2 linked regions of the Caenorhabditis elegans genome follow. The protein of the gene in region 1 interacts with the protein of each later gene in a pairwise test. Each region holds a gene or a part of one and is shown on either strand. Other genes may lie near its edges.

What was found.
Region 2: the proteins of C31H1.5 (region 1) and skr-10 interact in a two-hybrid assay, tested with the Caenorhabditis elegans proteins (one large-scale study listed by BioGRID).

Annotation. Positions count from the first base shown.
Region 1 is NC_003282.8:5,794,421-5,798,995, reverse strand, and holds C31H1.5 (Phospholipase A(2)), read left to right. Parts: upstream 1-2,201; 5' UTR 2,202-2,233; coding exon 2,234-2,325; intron 2,326-2,430; coding exon 2,431-2,537; intron 2,538-2,648; coding exon 2,649-2,746; intron 2,747-3,029; coding exon 3,030-3,237; intron 3,238-3,288; coding exon 3,289-3,486; intron 3,487-3,549; exon of another isoform or gene 3,550-3,570; intron 3,571-3,713; coding exon 3,714-3,872; intron 3,873-3,917; coding exon 3,918-4,003; 3' UTR 4,004-4,064; downstream 4,065-4,575. Other genes in the region: C31H1.1 (DUF148 domain-containing protein), read right to left, coding at 1-259, 303-497, 766-1,147, 1,307-1,360, 1,408-1,475.
Region 2 is NC_003282.8:15,944,697-15,948,093, forward strand, and holds skr-10 (Skp1-related protein), read left to right. Parts: upstream 1-2,110; coding exon 2,111-2,689; downstream 2,690-3,397.

The sequences.
Region 1 (4,575 bases):
GTTCATTCTTGTTGAAAGGAAGCTCGTGAATCAAATTGACAAGGCTATTGACTGCCTGTTGCACACGATGATCTTCTTGCTCAAAAACAGTCAGAGGCCCAACATCAACCTTCCCGATATCCAGGAATTGACGGATTTTAGCAACACGTTTCTCATTCTCTGATATCATATTGATGGTCTTCTCATTGATTTCGTAGATTCTCTCGTGATCACGAACAAACTTTTCCACCTTCTCCTTGTCACGGAACTTGTCGACAATCTGTAAAATATTCTTATCATCGGGAAAACTTTAATTCTCTCACCTTGGCGTCCATATCAAGAAGCTTCTTTTCCAACTTTTCCAGCTCATCTACTGTTCCACCAACAGTTTCTTCCAGGCAATCAACGAGCTCATCATGATGTCCCCAAGTACGTTTTCCATTTTGCAGCAACTCAGCAAGTTTGGATGTTTGCTTGACAACTGTTTCAGTTGTATTTTCCACAGTTTGCTCGAGGATCTAAAAAACTGATAGATAAACCTTTCAGCATCTTGCTTATCAGAAAGACGTGCCTGACACATGCCTGCCTGCGAGCATTTTTAAATTATCAGGTTGACATTGAGGCAGGCAGGCAGGCATGATTGTGTCTGTGTGCACTTCTTCTGACAATACAACATTTTGAATGCGGAAAAATTCAAATGCATTTTTCTTGGACAATTGTTAATTGGATTTAATAATTTTGGAGATTGACGTCTCTTTATAGAAAATGTAAGCTGCAACAACTTACCGTATCCAGTTCCAGAATTCCTTCCATTTGCTTACCGAGGCACAATCTCATTTCCCGATTCTCAGTAGTTTCAACCAAAGAGCTCAATATTTGTGACGATGGAGCCAGAGATGCCAACGAGTTTCCATGGATGGTTTCCGAATACTCACTAGTCATGCTCGATGAGGATGACATCTTGAAATCTTTCGAAAATTCTGAACCATGATTTGGTGGGATGGAAGCGGTGTTGGCAGAAATCGATGAAGGAATAGTTAGAGGTTTCGAAGAAATTGTAGTGGGAATTGATTGGGTAGATTTTCCACTAGTGAACGAATCAATTCTCTTCCAGTGAGATCCAAGACTGCTGCTGTTGGCTGACATAATAGATTCCGATGGAAGAGTTCTGTAATATTAATTTGCAGAACTATTTATAATGATGTTTTAAAAATGGCAAAGGCATGGTTCGAACCAAATCACATTCATATGGTTTTGTTATAATAGCACCGTGAAACAGTCGTTTTTTGTTTAAAAATTTTTTGGAATTGCCTTCTTCATCCCTTACCTGGACTCAAATCCTGACTTGTCTCCGAGATACTCCGAAGGAATGATTGTTGAACTAAAACGAATATTTATACTTTCAAAAAAATTTTCCCAAAAACTCACTGCAACTGTTGTTGCTGATGAAGATGATTGAAATTCAAACGAGGTCCGTAATTGAAATGATCTGTCATCGTGCGAAGAATTTCAAACGGAAGACTTTTTTGATGCACAACCGTTTCAAGAAAATTATTGAGAACTGATCGATTTATCGATTCTCTGAACGTATGAGTTGGCAAACGCCACGTGAAGAATAGAAAAAAATGAAATAAAAGTTCACGTTGATGTAAAACTATTCAGAACATTTTAAAATTTAAATTAGAATTCACTTGGAAATATTTTCAATATTTTTGACGTATTTTTGAAGAGTTTGAAGCTGGAATCAACGTGTACTTATTTAGAAGGTTTTCTTGGAAGTTCACAATAAAAAAGCAATAAAATTAGCTCGGGAATTGTTGTCTCAAATACTGTTTTTATACGTTTTTTGTATGAATTGGTTAAAAGGAAATTTAAAAAAAAACTATCAAACTGCTTTTAATTGGTGTGACGCCCAATCTTTCAGAAATTTAATTTTTTCAATCAGCCGTTTCAAAATTTTCATTTAAATTTTCATTTTTCGTGTTTTTGAATTATTCAAAGCACAGTGCAAAACATCAGATTTTTTGAAATTTGGAAAACCTGCAGCTTCGTTCAATAGCATTGATTGAAATTAAGTGAATGTATTTATTTCAACTTTCAAATTATTTTGATTAATACAATTTGAAACGTGAAAAATCCAACTAGAATTTTGAACTTTTCTCAAAAAAAAAAATTCACGTAACCTCTCACCATTCTCAAACAAACCAATCATTGCCTGGTCTGAGAATTCGAAGATCAACATCAAATCAGAATAATGCTGTTCACTTTGCCATTACTTCTGCTGCTTCACAGTGTCATAGCTTTTTCTACTCCAGAAGTCCAACATCGCTCTAAACGCTTTCAGCTGTTAGTTTTATATGTTCTTTTTTTCATTTTTGAAACTGATTTTTACCTGAAAAAATATTTTATTTTGTACATTTTCAAAATGTAAACCTATTTAAATTGTTTCAGCCCTGGTCAACAAACCATTAACCCCGAGGCGTGGTTCTGTGGTGCGAGCAGGTTTCAATGGAAAATTTCTCATGAGGTCATTTCCCAAACTTGCGATGAAAAAGCAAGTAAGTTGGGCCAAAATATGTTACGTATTCAGAAATTACATATTAATCCATGAATCCTTGAGCTAGATAACAAGAAAAACACAGATTTTTGATAAATATATTGTTTTCCAGTTGAATTGAACCATTGCTGTGCTGTTCACGATTCTTGTTACGATAATATTGCTCAAACCCAAGAAGGATGTGATAACAAATTCTGTAATTGTCTTCGTGTGAGTTTTGAACTTTTTTGAGAAAAAAGTTCAAATTAAATACGTTTATTGCCAACTTTAATTTTGAAATCGATAAAAAAGTATATGTCATCACGAGGTTTTCACAATTTTTTAGAGTATGGTGCACGGGTATTAATGTAAAAATGTGGCATTCCCACGTAGCTTCAAGTATTTTTTTCCGAGGTATGTATAAGGCAACATAAAAAATTATTATAGTACCTCTACCGAAATTCAAAGAAGACTGCCAGATTAAACAGAAATTGTTAAAATTTTGATATTTCAGAATGCCATGACCAGTACAAAGGATCGCTATTTTATGTGTGCCGATTTTGTAACCGATGCTGCTTGTTCTCTTGTCAGAAAGTTTGGACATGAGCATTATGGAACAAGAACACCAGATAACAGAGAGTTGACAGCATTTCACCCAGCAACAAATCAAACTGCAAATCGTGAATACAATAGATTGTATAAATCTTGTCTTGGATTTAGAAGTCAGTTTTCTATAAAATGGGCTAACAAATAGTTCATATATTTTTTTTCAGAGCCTTTGATCAGTTGTGCCTATAGTCATTTAGTTTGTACTTTGAAAATGCGTCCATTGGATAGATATGATCAATCATATATTCAATGTCGGGAGGATCTTATCAACTGTCTTGAGGATACTACTTCATTTTTGAAAATGAGAGAAAATAAAGAGTGTTCGAATCAACTGGATATTGCATTGTATGCAATTAAACATGGTAATTTAATTACTTTATCACTATAGGAACTGGATTTGAATTTTAAAAAAGCTAGAAAAACTGCTACACTGAATTTTAACTACATTAAGAACAACATATATTTTCAATATATCACATGTCAATGAAACTGTTGGTGACTACTTCTCAATTTTTTCAAATTTAAGAGAACTCCAAATATATTACAAACAATTATTCCCTACAGATCAAAAATGTTGAGCCATTTTCAGATGCAAAACTATCTGGACTTCCATTTTATTTACATTACAAAGAAGATACAACTACCACCTCGACTACTGACACTACGACTACCATTTCTACCACTAAAAACACCACTGTGACACAGAAACCGAAAACAAATACCACAAACTCAACTGTCACTATTGAAGGTATTCATGTGGACTTTAACAATACAAGAACACTTAATTTTTCAGAAACTACACTTGAGGAAAAGACTATTGCAACTGGAAATCATACGGAAATGGACGAATTCGGTGTGTACATTGAGTCCGAAAATTAAACTACTTGAAATTGAACTGAACTCTTGAATAATGACATCTTTTATAAATTCGGAGCACTGTAATTTCCCTTAAACAACAAGTAAAGAAAATATCAAACTAAATGCGGATTTAAATGCCAAAACTCATTGCATTGCACAGTATATTCCGAATGAGGATATGAACATATGAACAACTTGAAACAGTATTCTTCGAAAATTCAAACGCGGAAATTTAAATTTTGCAAGCTCCGCATAGTTTCGAAAAACAAAAGTTGAAATTTGTTGGGGATTGAGAGACATAGAGAAAAAATTAACAAATAAACAGTGCGGAGATTACAAAATTTAAATTGCCGCACGGTTTCGTGGGCGTGGCCCCTGACTAGGATCCTCCGCCGCCGGCAATCCCCCCCCCCCCCTTCGACGGGCCTCGCTTTAAATGAAAAGTCTGAAATATTCAAATGTAATTGAAAAATGACCCATAAGACCAACAATTCGTGAATTCTAAATAAACATATATTACCAACTTGAAACAGTATTTTTGAAAAATTTCAAAGTGAGTTAAATTTAGTGCGAATTATTTTGTTTTAAATGAC
Region 2 (3,397 bases), about 10 Mb from region 1:
ACAACTTTAGATATTATTTTTGAAAAGAAATAGACGACTGCTCACAATGAGAGCTGGACAAGAGAATGAGTCTACATGCAGAGTGTGCCGAAAAAAATATTAGAAATCGATCGATTGGAACGCTGCGTTTGTTAAAAAAATATTGATTAGTTTTCCACAGGGAGATGATGAGAAATGCCGTCAAGTTAAACGCGACGAGAAAAAGAAAATTTGACTGTTTCAATTGGTTGTTATAAACTTGGATACGATTTATATAGTATTAATACTGAACTAATTATACACATTAGAAATACTATAGGAATATGACAAGGAAAGTGCTGGAAATTAACTCAAAGATGCATACGTTTTTGTAATTGGAGAGGTGAAAAAAAAATTACTGTTTCTAAAATATACCAAATTTCGGGTAAAAATTAGGGGGTATTTCTCGGGAAAAAAATATTGGACTAATTTGCAAAGAATCAAAATTTAGGTCCGTTTTTATAAAACTGTTATGTTTGTTACTGTATTCTAGCAACTATGTTAATATTTGATCTACAAGTCTCAGACGTAGCAAGGTAGCAACCAAATTGAATTAAGTCGGAAATGGAATAAAAAATTGGAGAAACAAATAGAATGCATTGAAAAATGGAAAAAAAGAAAGAACAAAAAATGCGACTACTCACAATGAGAAGAGAATGTATAAATGACTCCTCACAATCAGGCAGACTGTTTTTTTCCAGAAAACGACTGGGACGCTGCAAATCTAGGTCAATTATTGATATTGGGTAGAGAGAGTTCAATGCATTTCTAGGAGGTTTAGAAAAACAGACAGTGCACCTGCTCTAGGATTTCCCTAACAAAGGTCTTTTCTCTCTAAACCTCGCCTATAACACAATGTCTCATCTCATCCTGTCAAAATTTGACCTACATTTCCAGCGTTTTTAACCGAAGCCAGTTAGGCTATTGGTCATTCTTGCATTTAGCTCTCACCCTGGGCAGCTGCATTTTATTTTTCCTTCTTTTTAAATTTTTTTTTTTTTTGGTTTTTCGTTCTTTTGTTTTATCAATGACCCAGAATCTGTTTGTCTGAAAACCTTAAACTTTAAGCATTCAAAGTTCTAGTCCAATTAAAAATGTTGAACTCTCTAAAACTATAATACCTGTTTGATGCAGTTTTTATAATAAACTATTTTTGAACAAATCCCGATCGAGAAATAAACTTGATAATTACTTAAAGTTGTACCACTAATAAAACCGAAAAATCACTTTAAAATTCGATTACCTATAACCTTAAAAAATATTCTGATCTTCTAAAAACCTCCTAAAATGTAATTTGAGAAAATGTCGCAATATTGCAAAAAAAATTTAAAATCAATTCTAAATTTTGCTATTTCGAGGTGTTATCAAATTTTAGCGCAAGCCTTATTCGAATATTGCATTGGGATTTGCTTTCTTCTTTTTTTTTGTAAAATTCATATCGAGGATATGTAAACCAGTTTGTCAAATTTGTTGCTTTAAACCCCTTTGGATTAATTTAGGCTTACACTATTTCAGACCACTTTTTGATCGATAAAATATTAGGGGCCTCCTCAACAACCTTGTCGGTTGATATTAAACCTTTTTAGACAAATCGATATTTTTCGAACAAACGCAGCGTTCCATGCTGTTGATTTTGCGTGTATAACTCTTCAATCAACTTTAGATGCAATACTATATAAATCTTATCCAAATGTATAACAACCAGTTGAAACAGTCAAATTTTCTTTTTCTCGTCGCGTTCAACTTGACGGCATTTCTCATCATCTCCCTGTGGAAAACTAATCAATACTTTTTGAACAAACGCAGCGTTCCAATCGATCGATTTCTAACATTTTTTGAGGGATAGTCTGTCTGCAGAGTCATTCTATCGTTTATATCTCATTGTGAGCAGTCGTCTACATTTTTTTCTATCTTTCTATACACATTTCAAAACTATTATCTAACGTTGTTACCCGAAATTATAACAGCTGTTAGATACAGTTCTTTTTTTTACTTTTTGAAATCAGATTTTCCTACATTTTCTTAACTTAATCATCTTTCTTTATTTTTTCAACCCATTATTTTTCCAGAAACTACTCTAAAACTACCAACAATGTCCGCTGAAGTCGCTGCCGTTGAAATCCAAGAAGCTCCAGTTGCTGCTCCAATCATGTACAAAGTTGAATCAAATGATGGAACAGTTTTCGAAATCAGTGATGAAGCAGTAAAACAATCAAATACACTCTCCAATCTAATCTCTACATGTGCTCCAGAAGATGTAGCTTCAATGGATCCAATTCCAATTACAAATGTCACTGGAAACATCCTGAAGATGGTCATTGAATGGTGTGAGAAACACAAAGGAGAAGCACTTCCAGTTGATGATGACAGTGTTCCAAAGCATATCACTGTTCCCGAATGGGATACCAACTTCTTGAAAATCGACAACGAAGTGCTCTTCGACTTGATTGTTGCCTGCAACTACCTTGATGTGCCTGGATTAATGAATTATGGATGCAAGATGGTTGCCATGATGGCTATCGGAAAGTCTCCTGATGAGTTGAGAATCATCTTTGCAATTCCAACTGATGAAGAGGATGAAGCTGCTGAGAGAGCTGCAAAGGAGAAGGCTGAAGCTGAGAAGAAGGCGAATGCTGAGAAGGACGCAGCTGAACCATCGACTTCCAAATAATTTCTATGTATCAAGTGTTTTGTGTTTCTTATCAAATAAATAAGTTTGACTGTAATCTTGTTGACAAACATTACACAAAATTTTTATTAACAGTTTCAAGGTGTTGTTTTGAAGAGTTATTCCTAAAATGAAATATTCCATAGCAAGGTTCTAACACAGAATGCACTTTGACTATCTTCTTGTTGAAACATTTGGAAATTTTGAAAAAAAACATCTACTGTTTCAATATGTTGATTTTAAGAGTGAGGCTAAACAAGCAACAGTAAGTTTTTATTTAACCAAAAGCAATTACGTTTGAAAATGTCACAATTAAACCTTATAAACTAGTGTTGAAAGGGCATTCAAAAAAAAACTCGCGTATCTAGTTACTTTAATTCAAAAAATTCAAAAATACCATGCCACTTTTGCGGAAAAGTTTGCAATTTTGTGCGATGCTCAAAAATGTATTCACATATATCAATTTTTATGTTGGAACGTTTACTACCTAGCAACAAGAACTCCAGTAAGCTTCCTAGTCCTGGTTTTCTACTTTCTTGTTTTTTAAAACAGAAAATGCCACCCTTGCTCCTCTTCTTGGCAATTGTTGCTTGTTTCTCAAAATGCGAAGCCATTGAGAAAATGTTCATCGTCTGGGGTGCTCCAACAATATTCTCTACTCCAATAAAAATTGAAGGTAGTTTCAAGTATCATTGTATGGATGAGTGTTTG